Linked DNA regions of Drosophila melanogaster. The protein of the gene in region 2 interacts with the protein of the main gene of each other region in a pairwise test. Each region holds a gene or a part of one and is shown on either strand. Other genes may lie near its edges.

Region 1 (10,368 bases), on a different chromosome or scaffold from region 2:
GTGGGCTACAATGCCTGCACCTGCGTGGCCATGTTCCAGATCATCGGGCTGGTGAAGAGTGCCCGTTACTGCGAGCTCTACGGAGACGATCCCTTCCATCCGCTGGCCATGAGAAGCAATCGATCGAAGGATTCCGAGAAGCCGCTCCACGTCCTGCGAATGCACGACATGCACGACACAAACATCGACGAGGAGAAGCGACTGAGCAAGCTGGGCCTGTGGCCACGTCGTCAGCCGCCGGTGGTGTCCGTCCTGCCGGTGCAGGCAGCTTATCCGCAGCCACCGCTGAAGTGGTGGCAGCTGCAGGCACTGAGCACCGGTGATGACCACCAGCCGGATCCGTCCGTCTACCGCAACTGGCACACCAACGAGCTACTCAACGGTGTGGGCGGCGATGTTCAGCGCAAGAGTGAGCTGAATCGACGCTACGCGGAGAACCAGTTGCATCGATGGTACTGATCACTGATCACAGGAATGGTTAAGTGTTAGTTAATCTATAAAAACTAACGAATTGTAACTCTTTTTAGCTGTCTTATCAAACTTGAAAACTTTCAAATTTATTTAGTAACTTAGTAAGACATAAGATCCGATCACAAACGTTAAACAATTTTGTAACTTCTGTGAACATTTTTTTTACCACAATTTTGAAACTTGTATTCCCAAAGCAAACAGCGTGAATATAAAAAGCCCTATCTGCTTATTCGATAAGTCTTCGATTCCCCTGCTCAACACTTTACCGAGCTATGCAATTCAGCAAGCTCCATCCCAACAATATCCTTGACTACCCAGCAAGATGAAAGTTTCCATCTCCCTGGATTTTGTTGCCTGGGCTTTTGGCGGGCACTTTGCATAAACGACACTACAGATTATGCAACTCTGTCTGGGAGACACTTTGCATATCCTCGACCAGGAAGCGGGATGCTTCAATGGCCGGTTCGACTTACAAATGCTTTTCCCATTTTACATTCCCAACCAAGTGCACAGCGACCGGAAAAAAAAGGGGAGGATGCAGAAGCCCGAAAGAGCAGGCAAGCTGCAGACAGGGATGAAGATATTCGGTGGACCATTCTATTGTGTTGGCCAAACGACAAAAATCAAAATACTTAACAATTGGTGACGCTGGCAATGGAGCATGAGTCGCAGTGGATAATGCTAGGAATGCCCGGCTGGCATCCAATGATATTCTCAATTTCTCCTCTATTTTCTCAACGTTTCTCTGCTGAGCATCTGCCAACAAAAATCCGGGCCACATGGACATGACTGGTGCCCAGGAGATTTCAGCGATATGTGTTGACACTTTTGTTGACTGCTGCCATTGAAGCCTGTGGGAATGCAGCTTCTGTTCTCACAACTTTTCTATAATTTAATTAAAAGTTTTTGGGAAAATATTGCATTCTGCTGAAAAATACTGAAAACTGGGCAATTCCAAATATTAGCTGATATAAGCTAATAGTGCCTGAAATTCGATGCTTCAACTCATGATATTGTTGCAAACATTAGTATTATTTTTTCTTTGCTGCCCTTGCTTCGCCTTAGAATAGTCTCAGCGCGCTATAAGCTTCACTAATCCTTTCATCACCATCCTTTGGGGCACACGTTTCTCTGACGCTTCTTGAAGGACATCAACAAAGTCCTTGGGACACGACTAGGATACACGAAAGCCGATACGTGTCGCTGATTATCTGCCGTGTGCTTAGCACTGGATTAAGCTGCCAAAAAACGTGGTATGGACGCCAGGAGGCGATATCTGTCGACGATGAAATACTTCAGGAGCGGAGCCTCAAAAGAGGGTATCAAGCAGTTCATGTATATATATCAAAGGACTGCAAAACAGACCTTATTGAATCAAATATAAAGTAAACGAACTTATAACATTATATAATTATAAATGTTCTATTAAAAGGGCTCCGCTGTTCCCAATCCGCTCCTGGTTAAATAGATGTAAAAATGTGTAATCCAGACCAGGCTCAACAAGTAGGTGAGAGTTGGAGGTGGAATGTAACCGTTTGACTAGTCGACATGCTGCAAGGATTTTTAATTCGATGTACGTGTGTGTGCAAGGCTGAAAAGGATTCGAGCCAGGACGCAACTGGAAAGTGAATTAAAGATTAACCTGGAGTGATTTGCGAATCTCATGGACTAACGGAATTGAAAATTTATGGAATAAAACATTATGTAGCACATTTTATTTGATGACAGCTGAAAATTGCACTTTAGACTTAGTTACTAATTCAGTTCGGCCCGAAGGGATGAGTTGCCAAGTGTTTACGAACGTTCCACCCAGTGATATATTAATGGATTACTTTTACACATTTATTCCCAGCAGTAAATAAGTTAAATTTCGGGCTCAATTCTCGCTCAAGGACATTACTTCGTTACAAATTCTCTGCTCAAACTCAAATTGTGGGCAGATGATGCTCGGTGCGATGTAGCAGGTTTGCATTCTTGTTCAGGGGCTGCAGCTTCACGTAATCTTGATGCGGGTGATGATGATGCTGCGTGCTAGGCAGCAGCGGTAGTGATGTGTTTGAAGTCTGTAATCGAAAGGATATACTAATAGATTGAATTATCCTCTGAGAGGACTGCCGTACGCACCTTTGATTTATCCCGGGCCGCCGCGATGGCCGCCGCCTGAGCAGGACCCGTCTGGAGCTGCTGGGCCGCCGTGGCCAGCATGAACTGCTGGGAGGCGAGCTGCTGCTGGCGGAGATTGGCCGCCTCCAGGCTGTTGACGTGCTCCAGTTCGCGCTGCTTAGCGATGTAGTCATCGAAGTAGGAGTGCTTTGTGAGCTTCTCGCAGGACCAGCGCTTGGTCGGATCCTTGTCCAGGCACTTCTTGAGAAAGTCAATGGTCAGGGGATTCTGCTGCGACTTGGCCGGCATCTTGTCCTCCAGCGGCTCCAGCGTCGGCGGCACTGGCAGCGTGATGCCCTTAAAGTACTCGTTCTGTCCAAAGATCTGGATGTGGCGCGGCAGCAGGTCGCCGAGCGTCTTGCGGATCAGATAGAGCTGATCCACATCGCTACGTCCTGGCCAGAGGGCCTCGCCCCGGACCAGCTCGGCGAAGAGGCAACCGATGGCCCAGACGTCCACCGGAGTGCCGTACTGAGTGTCGCCCACCAGCAGCTCCGGCGCCCGGTACCATCTGGTGGCCACGTAGTCCGTGTAATTCTCGCCCGGACTGAGCATCCGGGCGAAGCCGAAGTCACACAGCTTCACCTGACCCTGGGCCGTCAGCAGAATGTTCTCCGGCTTGATGTCGCGGTGTAGGCAGCCCTGCTTGTGGCAGTAGGCCACGCCCAGCAGGGTCTGGTAGCAGATCTGTTTGGTCAGGTGCTCCGGGCAGCCCTGTGGATGCCGCTCCAGTTCGTGCAGCACGGTCAGCTCGCAGAACTCGAAGACCAGATGGAGGCGTCGCTTCCGTCGGAACACTTCTAGCAGGGAGACAAGGTTCGGATGCTTCAGGTTCTGCAGGAAATTTCGAGTGATTAAGTGATTCAAGTGATTTAAGTTATTAAGGCTTACCTTCAGTAGCCTAATTTCTCGCAGTGCAATTTTACGAATCGCTGGATCATCCTCGGACTCCACAAACCTCTTGACCGCCACCAGAGCACCCGTTTCCCGATCCCGGCACTTGTAGACCACACCGTAGGAGCCCTCGCCCAGCCGACTGAGCTTCTCATAGCGATCCATTTTGCTGCTACCTTGTGGTCTGCAAGGAAGTTAACAGGTATGAGTTATTCCGGAATTCCCACCCCGATTGCGGCTAACGTTCAGTTTGAGTTTGGAGTGGATTTTACCTTAAGCTCAAACATTGACCACGTTTGATGTTTGCACGTCGCATTGCTTTGCATTGGGCACACAAAATGTTCAAGAATTTTTCTGTTTGATACCTCAGACACGAACACATGTGGACTCACAGGGGCGAACTTGCATTCTAGGATATGCGAGCGAGTATGAAGTGATTTGATATTCGATCTGGTATTATTTCAAGGGCTGTCTTACGATTTGATGTGTATGCATATATGTACAAGTTATTATATTGAATAGGTTTGGTTTTTTTTTGGGGATGTCCAGAACATTTTGGAGGTTTGGTTTCACGAATTCGGTATGATTTGGTTAGTCGATTTCGATGGAATGAAACAAACAACAAATGAGAGAACTTTTAGAATGAGTTATTTGGTTTAAACGTTAATTTTGGTGGGCCAAAGGAACTGTTAAATAAAATGTAATAATAATAAATTAAAATGTGCCGAAGTACATCAATATAAACTTCTTCCTGCTAACTTTTTCCAATCTAAATGCAGCTATTATAGCTAATCAAATAAATCGATATTGTAAACATTCAATTGCCATTAGATACACAACCTAATCATTACTACTCTGCCATTTATAAGCACGAGAACTAAATCGATTTTTTTGACCCAAGTAAACATAACCCTATGTGGAATTGTCATTGATTTGAGTGTATGGACTAATGAATTCTAACATTTTTACACAGTTTAAGTGAAAATAAGATTAAAATAACTTATTCTGTTCATTCAGAATTGTACCATTAGTATTAGATTAGAAACCGAGGGTAATTAACTTTCTAGCGTGAACACGAAAACTAAATCGATTTTGTAGCCCCAGGTGTTCGAGAGCGTGCTCCTTTGAAATTGGCATTACCGGTCTGGTCGAGGACTTCACGGGTTGACAGTTCAATGCCAGCCACAAAACCTTAAACGGGGTAACTGAACCCTGCTTGGGCCTTTCTGCATCTTTTGCTAACATGTGTGTGGGTCATAAACATGGCATGCAATTAAATATTTGTGTGCTTATGATGGTGGTGCTGGTTGGTGGCACAAATAAATGAAAGCAACACAGGACACCGAAAACGTAGCAAGCAGATGACTTACCTAGGCACCCATCTGGCTAATATCTGACGTATTTGCCACTAGAGTTAGTAATTGAATTGTGAATGAATAGGACATATATATATATATATATATGTATTTGATTAAAGTCTTTTGGGGGAAGTCTACGATACACACCATGCGCCGAATATTCCGCCAAGCCTGTCGATCAATAAATATTTGAATGGGTAGACCGCTTGAGCGGACGTATGTTTTGTCTGACAACTGAGCACCGAATGGGGGAAACGCTAGAGCCGACCTGTGCCCCATGTCGACCAGGTCGACTCCACCCCACTGGCCAATGTCATAGCAATGCGACCAAAGTTAACAAAGCAAAAAACCACAACAAAACCAAATCCATGCGCAGTTGCCCCCAAAGTTGTTCAAGAAGTTTCTCCCCTTTGTTGTTTTTTCTAGCGACTACCGGAAGACATTCAAGGTGTGCTTCTTTCCCAGCTTTCCCAGCTCCTTTCCCACTACACATTTTGAGGTTACCTGCTGGAGTCGTCTGTCTAAGGAGAAGGCAGGGGAGTCGCTTATGAACCGGGTTCTTTGACACAGATTGCTGGAGGATTCCATATAGCTAAACTGGTGCAGCAGTGCAATAAGTTTGTCGTAACTACGCGCTACGTGGGCGCTTCGGGGGTGGATTCTATTTGGGGTCCTTATTACTAATTAATGTTTGAATCGCTGTGCAATTATAACAGTATTAGGGATGGCTTTTCCTGGCTGAATAACTTAAGTATTGCTGTGCAGCTAATTTGCTTGCCAGGGGTCACTTATTGTGTTTGCTTTTCGAAGCTGTCCAAACTTTAAAACTTTCACAGTTCACAGGCAAATAAGATAAGTTATGATGTTAATAATAAATGTTAATTTTTTTTTTTAATTTTGTTTATTTTTTTTTTTTTGCTCATACCTTCGTAGGGAAAACAATTTAGAAATCTCAAACATTTTCATTGCAGTATCGAATTTTTTCCAGTTCACCTTTTGTCTATATTTGGTTTGTTTCCGTGTTTCCTTCACTTGGGCCAAACAAAGAGCCCTATAACTTTTTGGCAGAACTACACGATGTGAAGACGTTAAGAGCCGGCAATCGACTGAGGTGCTTTTGGCTAGAAACGAGTTTGGAGAGCGACGGAGTTGGTAGCAGCTCGGTTGCATCAGCGGACATCGCACATACGCCGCGTTGGCCAATGGCGACTTTGATTCCTATGTTTTTGTTTGTTTTGGTCTTGCGTGTTTCATTAATAATGCATTTAAGTGCAGTGGAAAAACACGAAGGTGAGCGTCGAACATAAATTAGGAACCATAATCACGCATACTGTATAAGCAATATGTAAGGTATATGTATATAAAACGAATTCTTTGACCGGTGTGGTGTATTAGGTAACTAATTTCCTTGAAATTTACCTTTAAGAAGTGTATGAAAGTATAGTGACAGCACCCCACTGATTTCTGATTTGCATAATTACTGAGAACTCCCGTCGACCCCGTTCCAACTTAAACACCATCTGCTTGCCTTATACATTTGACAGCTTTTGTTTTCCGCGAAAGCACTTTAACCTTTCCCACTTTGATTTTACCTTTATTCTAGGCTCTTGTGGCTTTTAATTATATTTTTGTATTTATTGTTCTATGTAGTTGTTTGCGCATAGCAATTATTTGTTCATGTCGTTGTCATGATGTTTGCACTCAATGTTGGGGTCAATGCTTCCCAGCTTAATGGCTCTTCGTTTATTTACCATTCTGATACTGACCCCCGGTATTTGTGTGATATAGCAGCGCTAAAGTTTATTTAGTAATGGGTATTATATAAGAATGAGAGGAGAATTAAAGCACTTCTATTTAAGAAAAAGGAACATTTAGCTGGCCTTTAAAATAGATACTTAAAATTGAAATTTACTTATACGAGTTTAGCTTACTGAAGTCAGACTGAATGGTCTTTATTTTTAGAGAAACCACACATTTTTAGATGTTTAATATTCGTACTGCCTTGTGGGTTTATTTCAAGTGTCTGTACTTGCTAAAATAGCAATAATATGTCAAGTAAGTAAAGTTTTTTAGCAAAACCTCTAACATCGCCTTGTAAAGTCCCTGAACCTTTTGGCCATATAAATATTGCGGGTTGTTGGTAAGGGTTGTGTTGACGTGGCCTTTGGGAAAACAAGCGTAAAATGCAATAAATAACAAGCCATTAATGCCAAATGCTCACACACGCACCGAGTGTCCCAAACTTTGTGCGAGGTCTGTGCAAAAAGCGTTGCCTACTTACGGGGATAGCAGAGCTGAAGCGCTTGGAGGACGAAGCAGGCATATGCGTGTGAAATGAAAGGCCAAGGCCGTTGCAACACCACCTCCACCAGCAGCGACTCAAATGTCATTGGGAAAAGTTTATCCTTTCTGCCCGTTTTAGCACTGCATTTCACTTTCATTCCGCAAAAAGTTGGTAAAGCTAATTAGGGCCACGAACGGCGCTAATCGACCCACCTGTACTGCCTGGTCTCAACTAAGTCCGGCTCATTGCACACCTGGATCTTCTGAATGAGGCGGTAGAGGAAGGAGTTCTGTAACGATTGCGGCAAGTAGAACGATGAGCTGTGAAACATTGCACGTCGCCAGGCGTTCGTACGGCTGCAGGGTCTCAGGATAACTAAGTTGCACTTCGACGGTCTCTCGTCTATTTATTTTATCGATACATGATTTCAAATGCAACGGACATCATGAATACTTTATGCATGGAGCGACATTCCTTCTCAAACAGGTGCAAAAAACCGGCTCTGTTTCTGACGTGTCTCGTGCCGGCAATGCTTTTCCATATTGTTTAAGATTTTTTTGGGTCAGAAAAAATGCGGCCGGGGGAAGCCAAAGGAACATGCAAATGAGTCAGGCGCATAATGCGAGAAGTGAGAGTTGCGACGGCAGGCGAATGAGGCAGAGTTTGCCACATGCCACAGCGAGGCACACGAAATCAGTGGTGCAAGCTGGAGGGAAAAAAACGGCTTGCGGGGATTCAATTATGTAAGGTGAGGCGGGCACCTGTGAGTTTTGGCATCCACTGTGGGAATGAGAGCGACTGTCAAATGCCATGAAAGCGCCAAACAAATGTAAGTATCCTGCTGGCAAACCGAAAACGCGATTCTAATTCGCGGCTGTTGAAAAGTCCATTCACCAAAAGTGCTGATATAAGCAAAGCAGTCCCATTATAACATTTTTTGAGCACAATGAACGTTTAGATCTTGGGATCATGGCAATTCAATGTGAATAAACTTGATTAAAGTTTAAAAAACCCTTACTAATTTCACATAAATAAACTTAGGAAATGTATGAAACACATCAAATTGTTATTGCTACCAGAACAGCATGAATTGCGCTCCTTGGGTCCTGGGTCATGATCATGAACTTGTCTTGTATTATATAACTATCCATCTCCTGAAACAACTTATCAATAATTACCAAAGAAAAGTATGTGACTTGTAAAAACCTTCTCATGAACAAGTGTGCGAGTACAAGTGTTATGTATCAATCATTTGCTTACAGTCTGATGGGCAATATCTTATTCTATTTCAGTCAGATATGTATTCCAGCAAAAAAACATTTCCCTCTGTTCCTTTCGAGCAAAACGCAAGTGTCGTTGACATTTGCCGAAAATAGGGTTTTCGTCTGCTTGGATCAAAAGCATTAAAAACCGCTACATCATCCGTTCCCATAAGTATGCAATATTCCTTCAGAGCTGCTTGTCTGGCCTGTCAGAATTCGGATGGTAAGTGGGTTGATGTTGGAGACAAATCCAAGCTCCGAACGCATTTCAATGCAATTTGATGTCTCTGTACTTGATTTCATCTCTTTTCGCTTTTGTTCTTCTGCATCTTTTTTTCCGTGCACATATACTCGCATTGATTGAAATTCAATTTGATTGGAGTTTTTGTCCTTTTTGGTCCTGTGGCTTCTTGGTTAGATCTTGTGTAAGTTGAGTAGCTTTTAACTGTCAGTTTCAAAGGCGTTCAAAGAAGGTATCTAAATGTTAGTTAGAGACACACAATGTTTTCATACGATGATTACTATTTACTGTAGGGTTGGTTATTCACAAGGCCCGACGTTAAGCAAAACAATATCAGGGGCAACACTCTATCTGCGCGCCAATCTTGAAGTTCAAGTTTAGGCCAAAACAATGAAAAAATGTTTGGATAGCACTTTTTGTTACCATTCAATGCAATGCAATGCCAAGTTCGACTTACCTTCTGGGCAAAAGTGGAAGGTGGTTACCAAACAGCCAGAGACGTTTCTCTCCGAACCATTTGTCCATAGACAAGCATTTAATAACTGTTTGGAAAATTGATTTTAAAATGCCGTACTATTTCTGGAATCTCGAAAGTGATTTCCGCATCCTGCGAGCATTTAACTAAATGGATTTTCACGCGCGAGATGCGAGGCGAGTTTCGCGTCCGTTGGCGAAGAAATATTAACAAACTTTGTTTATAAGCGTAGTCCACGCCGTAAACGTAGCCGGAATTTTTATGTGCGCCGGCATTGAAAACGCCGAAGACAATGGAATGGAGTTTCCAGGGGGTGGGCTTGTTGGGGTGTTCGTGACGGTTGACATTGGCAACGCTTTGGGGCAAGAAAGCCCGGTGGGCAACGGGATGGGGATCCGAATCAGGGTTGCTCGCCTTGTATTTGGTTATTAATAGTGTTGTTATAGCGCATGCCGTTGTTTATGTTTGCATTGTCAATCTGTTGTCACTAAAAACAAACAGCAAATTTGAGCTTAGTTCACGCTTTGATTTCAAATATTTCTAGTTCAGCTTTTCCGAGCGGAATTTTAGCTTGGTGTGTGTGAGTAGTTATGGATTTGAATGGACATCGCTTTTGAAGCAATTACGAAAAGATTAGATAGCAGTTTCTGTTGCTATTCTAGGTATTTATATCTACATAATGTTCAAAGCATTTAATCACCGATCGTTGATTGAATAGGTTTGCGTGACCAGGGAGTGACCTTCGATTGACTTACTACAAATAAGTTATAATATCAAAAAGTAGGCATTTACCTATTTTTAGTGAACAGAAAACTCTATGGCTCTTTTAAAACTTTTAAAAGTAACAGAAGGTGTACTTGTTGCTAAATTTGTTTATTAAATATGATATTTTAAAAGATATGAAAAAATAAGAAAACCTACAGTCATTAGACAATTATTTGTGAATAATTTATTTTTAAAGGATATTTTTAATCGGCTTGACGAAAGCTTTCTAGAAATCTAGAATAGGCAGCACATCTTTCAGAGTCGCGAAAGCTTTTAACTAGCCACTTTTAAGGCTGGCAACGCCTCGAGCATTTTCCGGTTGCCACAGTAACGGCAAAAGGGAAACCGTTAAACTTCACCGCCAACCAATACACACACATAACGAAGGAGCGGCCATACACACAAACAAATAACAAATGCCGGCCAGCATATGCCAGAGAACTAACACACAGAAA
Region 2 (7,464 bases):
CAGGGGGCCAATATGGACTTGTAAATATTGACCTTGCAGCCAAGCGACAGTTTGTTGCGTGGTGCAATGAGCCAAGACATCCGAGCAACCTTGGTCCTGAACGCTTGCTGAATATTTGTGATGTGCCTGCTGAAGGTGAGCTTCCTATCGAGGGTAATACCAAGGTATTTATAAGCCTGATGGTGTCTGATCAGTCTCCCATTCAGACTGACACCCGGACAGCTACCTGTTCGGTTGGCGAACGTCACATTGGCACACTTCTCAGCGTTGATGCGCACATTCCAGTTCTCAGCCCATTGCTGGAATGCATCCAGGTATTCCTGTAGACCAGAAGTGGCAGCCAGGATACTTTTACTTTTCGTGAGCACAGCAGTATCGTCAGCGTAGGTGGCTATGAGCACATCTTCTTCGTCTACCTCTGTGACTGGTGTGTGAGTAGGCATGTCCGAAGCAAAAACTGAGTATAGGGTTGGGCCAAGAACGCTTCCTTGAGGAACTCCAGCTGCAATTGGCTTGATTGATGATTTGTACCCATCAACAGAGACGTGGAATGTGCGTTCTTCCAGGAAACTTTTAACAACCAAATATAGCTGCGGCGGGAACAGCCTCTTCGCTTTGTACAGGAGCCCAGGGTGCCAGACTCTGTCAAATGCCTGTTGAATATCAAGAAAGGCACCTACTGCATACTCCTTGTTTTCCATAGCTTCCAGAGCAAAGTTCACTACTCTATGTAGTTGCTCAGGAGTACCGTGCTGCAACCGGAAGCCAAACTGAAATTTGGGAATCGCTTTGGTAACATCCTTGCATGTGAGCAGCCTGTTTAGGATCAGCCTCTCCATAATTTTACCCAGAGATGGGAGTAAGCTGATGGGCCTGTACGAGTCAACGTCTGTCGGTGTTTTTCCAGTCTTATGGATCATAATTATGCTCGCCGATTTCCAAGCTTTCGGAAAGTAGCCAACATCAAGAACGCTGTTGAATATTAAGACAAGGAACTGCAATGCTTGATCTGGGAGAAGTCTAATGGTTCTATTATCAAGAAGATCTTCTCCAGGAGCTTTCTTAAGTGGCAGCTTGGCTATTAAATTCTTCACTTCTTCCAGTGTGACAGCACTCGGAGGCAGGCTCATTTGAAAGGGCGATTCCAAGTATCCATGTGTGTGCGTCTGTGGCTTTCGTTCTTAAAATGGGAGGTAAAATATTTGAAATTTATTGCCGTTGCCTTTGATTCAATGCACACATTTATTAATTTATCATTCCATGAGCCGGAGCTCAGGCTCTAAATAAATCAAAGGCTTGAGATGGAAAAGATTTAAATGAATTGGCCGAACAAATGGCCAATAAGTTTTGGCATATCGATTGAATGTCGGCCTACAGAATGCATGCAAATTAATGCAGTATTTTGTGCTGAGCAAAACCATTCGAACCGACTTGATTGCACAAACCACAGACCAACGAGCACACCCCAAAGTGCCATAATGTCAATGCCCGCCCTAGGGCGCCACAACTCGGTGACAATTGACATTGGCAGTGACAGTGACTGTGACAGTGGCGAACGGAGAAATTCAATGAAAATTAATAAGTTGAATTAACAGATTCACGCCGCGAGCAGCCATCGAAATCCAATCCGCCGCACACGCCAAGTGGGAATTTAATGGCTCAGTGCCCTCAATGCCAAATGAGTGAGTGACTGGTCATCCTGTCCGTCCTGACATCCATCATTAAGGTCCTGCCCATCTCAACTCGACTCGCTGAGCTGGCTCAGCTGGCTGAGCCTGGATGCCGTCTGCTAGCCAGCATTCAATTCGATTACCTGCAAGCGAACACTTTATTTCCGAAAGGCTAACTTCATTGACCGTACATATCCTGCTGTGTGACTCATAACATGATGACTAAACCCAGCCATTCACTTGAGGGGAATGTCAGAGAGCGAAATTGCATTGACCTCCTTTAAAAACCCTTCAAACGCAATTTTAGTTGAATTAAAAATGAACGTATAAAGTTACTTAAATAGGTGTCTAAACGTATGCAGTTTAAATAGAATGCTGAGTATTTCCATTCACATATTTGTGAACTTTCGACTCGAAAGTTAGAATTTTTTCCAATATTTTTCCCTTTTCGGGCTAGAAAGTTTTCACTGCGCTGACCGTTTTACACTTGCTTTTAGCCCTAATTTCCTGTATGACTCGATGGTTTCGCCCCCCTTTCTCAGCCAGAAAACTTCAATGGAGCGAGAATGGAATGTGTGGGAGCTGCACAAATTACAATTTGAGCCAGGGCTCCTTCTCGGGGAGAAGGGGAGCCACATAAACCAATCTCCGCCCCTGTTCTTTGCCAAGCGATTTCGCTGCAATCTACATCGCCAGTAGAATGCTGCTCCTCCTTCGGCCGCAAAACTGACAGCAATCAGCTTTGCTGTGGATAAAGTTTTATGCCGAGAAACTCATTTAGTTTGCAATTAATTAGTGGCAGCCGGCAGAGCAGAGTTGAATTTGTGTTTTTAATTTGACTAAATAGATGCACCACTACCGAACGTTGGAGAGCTTGCACAACACGGCGAATGGTGGTGGGGCGTGGTGAGTGGGGCGTGCAGGATGGGGGCGTGACGAAGTAGCATAGTTCTGACTGAGTTTTTCGCTAGGCGTGAAATGTAAATGCTTGACCCAATTGGCAGGGGGCGTCTAAAGGGAAACACAACGAAAAACAACCAACCGCCGACAACAAAATCATTTAAAATGTTTTCCAACCGGGGAAACGGCGAGCGCTAAAACTTTTTCTACGGCGCTTTTGGCGAAGACAACTTGAACACAATTTGATAACCTACATTTGGGGGTCTTGGTAACATTAAAAATTTACACATGACGGCGTGGCCGGGGCGTTGGGGGTTTTGGCCTTACTCGCAGTGCAAAAGTGGAACGGAGTGTTTTCTCAGCGTCCTTGAGCTCTTGTTTTTTATTTGGTATTAAGAGCATGTCAAGTGAGTCTGGCGAACACAGAGGCTGAGGCAGCATGGCTAAGTGAGTTTTCGTTGTTGCTCCTTGTCACAGGAAACGGATGTGTGTGTGTGTGTGTGTGTGTGTGTGCGTGGTTTGGCTTGAAGCGAGAGGGGAAATTGTGGCGGGGGAGGGGGCTGGAGTAGACCGTCCCCGGAGGTGGGTAGCAAAAGTCTTTAAGTCTTTCGGCTTAATAGCTTTCAGTTTGCGACTTTCCTGGTCACAGCCCGACCCGATTCTGGTTGCTTACCCCTTCTATTGTCCCAAATCCCCATCATCATTTCAACCCCCTTCCTGGGTGCCGTGAGTTATTGTCGTGCGATTTATTACGCGACGCACTGTTGGTAGCCTTTGCTGCCTTCGGAGGGGGCCCACATGGCGTATGCGTAACGTATGGTCGTGGTAAAAACTCACGTAATATGCAACATTTACCGCCCGCGGTTCTCCGCCGGTTCCTTTTGATTTATTCAGCCAGGTGGCATACTTTTGACCCATATGGCTTTGATTTCTTGAAAAACTCAAAACCACCAAACATACCACTACCAAGTTAAAGTTATTACTAAAAGTGCAGTCACAGCTCCTTTGATATATGTCAGAAGTAAGCCTATTTCGTTTACGAAATGGTTTCTGCATTTTCTCTCTGTGCAGGTAAATATGATTTTCGTGTCTGGCAGCAATTACTGATGTTGTCATTAGTAAGAACACCACTCGGAAATTAATAAAGATTTGCACAGGCGCAAATCGGTTTAAAAATGCGTGCAAACACTTTGATTATTCATTCACAAAACCCAAGCGGCCCGAAATTCCCAAATGAGATAGTGCGTAATTCGCGACTGACACAGATTTTTCCCTATTTGGCTGTTCGCTGGTTTTCCTTTATATTTGCGCACAGAAACAACAACAAACAGAGTGACACACAAGTTCCAAAAAATTTCCCTACTCCACGCACACTCGCACAAATATTGACCGAATTTTACTGGCGGTGGTTTTTCCCCCCCAAAAATTCGATTGTTCTCCGCAGTGTTTTTCTTGTTTTCGGCGATGCTGTGTCTGTCTGTTTGTTTTCGAAAAATTTACCTCGGATTCTGACTGAAAAAACAAGAAGGCCACATACCACGTGGCCAACAGTTGAAGTCAATGTTGGTTCTTTTATTTTCGTTTTTTTTTTATTTGGTTTTTCTGGCTTTCTAATTTGTTAGACACGCTTTGGTTGAAAGTTTTTTCGGCTATGCTCTTGTTGATTTTGATTGAAACACACACGCACACCAGCACACACTCTCCGCGAAGAGAGCAGGACAGAAAGAGAGAACGAGAGCGAGACCGAAGGATATGTGGGGAATAATTCAATTCTGGCGCTTGGAACGTCTCACTGGGCGAATCACTCGAATGGCACTGAGCTCGAGTCCTTGGCATTTGGCCCGAGTGCCGTTTTGGCGGCGTCCATGTGACGTCACGAAAGCTTAGGCACAGCGAGATGGGAAAAAGGATACAAGAGCGCCCATGCGCATTGGCGAAAGCTCGCAATCGCTGGAGAAATAGCCACCAGGGATCTCTCGAAAACCCGACCTAGCCTTGCCTTGGACAAGTGTTTGTTTACGTTTTCCATCCGAACGTCCCGCAAGAATCCTTTCGAATCCTTGTTGCTCCTCCGCTCCCAAAAACGAAGGTCAAGCTCTGGCTCTGAATCGCAACGACACCACCTCCGTTTTCAATTAATCAGCAATATAAATTGTACTTTGTTTGGACGCCACAATACATTTTCCCCGCAATTTAACTTGGACGAAACAATTTACAGACTGTGTGGTTGGGCCACACAGCCCGATTTTACTCTAATGAAATATCTCAAGACCAAAAATGTCAGTGGTTGCAACTGTTTGCGACAGGCGGGGAGTTACTATTTCAAAATATGAAAAGCCTCAAAACAATAAATGAGGATGAAGTGGGTAAATGTGGGGATGTTGCGCACTTTGAGGTTGCCAACGACAACTGCAGTCTGCATGCTTTCCTACTAATTGTAAAACAATCTGACTGTACACTATCATTTGCGGCAAAAATTGACAAAGGAATCGAAAGTATGTGAGTATTGCACTCAAAGCTGAACATGTATAATATGATCCCGACAGCAAATGCTCAAATTATTGTGAAAAGATTTAATGAACACGTGCAAAATATTTCAGCCAAAGAAATCGCATCGCCTCATCTATGAAAATTGATATTATTGTTCTCTCAATGTGATTGTAACGAAAATGGCATTTTCATTTAAAGTCTAAATGGTTTAATTGAGTTTGAAAGGGCTTAACAATTCTGACAGCTGTGATAAAAGTGGCTTTCTGATTCAGCTTTGCAGTTACATTTAACTGGAAACATTGATTCATAACTGAGTTTCATATTAAAGTGTTATTTTTTTGCCTCTTCTGCAATCCTTTCAATTACTACCTTTCGATTGGCTTGATAAACAAACCTATTTTCCCGCATCGCAACTATGCAATTCAAAGCGGAATCGATTGCCATATCAACGCGTAAGGGTGGAGTAATCCGAATGAGAGCCATTGCAGTGCATTATCCTGAGCTCACAGGACTTGAACCGGATAAATCCCTTTACCGCTCCGTGCCAGAGAGTGTAGTGTCATTCATAAGCACAAGTGGCAGACGTGACTAGCCGCAGCCACGTAGAGGGCTTTGCACCTGACTGAATCGGTCCGATATATCCTATATACATCCTCCTGCCATACCCCTCCCACCCTTCGAACCCTTCGCATCCGCAAACTCATGGACACGGCCACTGTTTGTCTTTATTTTGACTGACAATCATTGTGGTTGCCATCTGTCTGCCTGCGGAAATGTGAAGTGCAGCCATGAGATAACCGCCATCATCTGATGCTAATAAAATGTTATCAAATGAATGTCAAGCGGCTGCTGAGCCCATCCTGCTGCCTTTTTTGTGGCTCTCCTGGCAGACGCCGCCATCGGTGCCAGGATATGTGTATCTGATATCCCGAACAATGGCGGCAGAACAAACGCACACACGGAGGCGCATCGATTACGGTGCTAGTTCATTCAACTCGGCTCCTCCATCGGAAAAGGCCTAGGATATATGGCAAAACTCCGACTCCCTCGACAAAGTCAAGACAGAAGACTTCCCGCCGAGAAGAGGCGGCGGGAGCAGCACTATCTGCCACAGGTGACGCGTGAAAAATTCCACAAGCCATGGAAGCCGAAGGAAACGTCTCTGCCATGCAATTCTTCCCTTTTGTCGTAACTCAACTGCCATTGACAGCCAAGTGTCCCACTGACAGTCGCCGCCCCCAGCAACCCTCCATTTACCCGCTTTTCCATTTCCCCTTGCCCACTTTTCCAACCTGCCGCCTGCAGAGCTGCGGAAAATCAACTACGACGACCTCAACCTTAAGAATTGAGCCAGATGCAGTGAGAGAAGAATCTAAGATTGCATTAGGAGCAACTAAATTTCTACTGGCATCGTTATAATATGATATCAAGATCTAAGCGTGGGGGCTTTCAACATATCATAGCAAATTCCAGACATTTTGAATGCATCTACATGTTGGTGTAAAGATAATGTTCCATACTACAGGACACCCTTACTTTTTTGAGGTGTATTACAAGTCCCGGCCAGCGTTTTGTCAAGCCAACCAATTGTGGGGACGGCATAGCCATTGTCACTGCCTGACATCCACTCCATCCCCACCTAAAAGGGGGGAGGACATGAGACGGGAGTGCTGCGAAAGAAATGGAGTTGCGGTGCCGCGTAGAATGGGGATGTTTATCAATGCCTTGCGCTTATCGCCGACAGCCGCCGCAGTCAGACAAGTGGAAAACTATACACGCCCAGAAAGCAGGAAAAAAATGGGAGTAGAAAATACATAAAACAGCCGGATGCGTTGGCTTGACAACTTATTTCAACATCTTGTTGTAACTGTTCGTTGTGCGCTTCCTATTTTCATTTATCGCAATAAACTTTTCCGCAGATGGCACTGCAAAAAGTTAGCAGATGGAAAGTGGAGAAGTGGAGGCAGTGGGCTGCTGTGGGTGGGAGTCGTCGCCAAAGTTTTCCCAATACTTTTTGAAGCCTTTGTTGCTGCACGGCCATTGTGTGTGCATATGAGCAAATATCTCATTGCAAAATATTTGCGTGTACTTCTTATACAATTCTTGTTATTGAATTCGATCAGAGTTCAAGGATGGCCAGATGCGAATATGCCAAATTGAAAATGCATTGAATTTTAAGCCGATTGGGGTCCAAAGAAACCACTCAACCTAAATCAGCTTACAGATGCATTGATTACCTCAATTAAGATTCCAGCCCTGGCTGGACAGTAATGAATCGAATTAGTATGTAAATGTCCAGAGATAGAGAGTGGATGGTCAGGGCAGCAATTTCGCAATTTCGCTAGGATTGTGCTTTACACTATTTCCTTCTTTTATACCCGTTACTCGTTGAGTACAAGGGTAT

What was found. Proteins that work in one complex are often made in the same cells at the same time.
Region 1: the proteins of Liprin-gamma (region 2) and CG7236 interact in a two-hybrid assay, tested with the Drosophila melanogaster proteins (one large-scale study listed by BioGRID).

The regions. Positions count from the first base shown.
Region 1 is NT_033779.5:5,705,582-5,715,949, reverse strand, and holds CG7236 (uncharacterized protein), read right to left. Parts: upstream 7,560-10,368; 5' UTR 7,502-7,559; coding exon 7,383-7,501; intron 6,001-7,382; exon of another isoform or gene 5,853-6,000; coding exon of another isoform or gene 5,812-5,852; intron 4,048-5,811; exon of another isoform or gene 3,911-4,047; coding exon of another isoform or gene 3,801-3,910; intron 3,713-3,800; coding exon 3,526-3,712; intron 3,469-3,525; coding exon 2,596-3,468; intron 2,535-2,595; coding exon 2,397-2,534; 3' UTR 2,159-2,396; downstream 1-2,158. Other genes in the region: CG14007 (uncharacterized protein), read left to right, coding at 1-459.
Region 2 is NT_033778.4:22,350,318-22,357,781, forward strand, and holds the start of Liprin-gamma (Liprin-gamma), read right to left. Parts: upstream 4,392-7,464; 5' UTR 4,071-4,391; intron 1-4,070.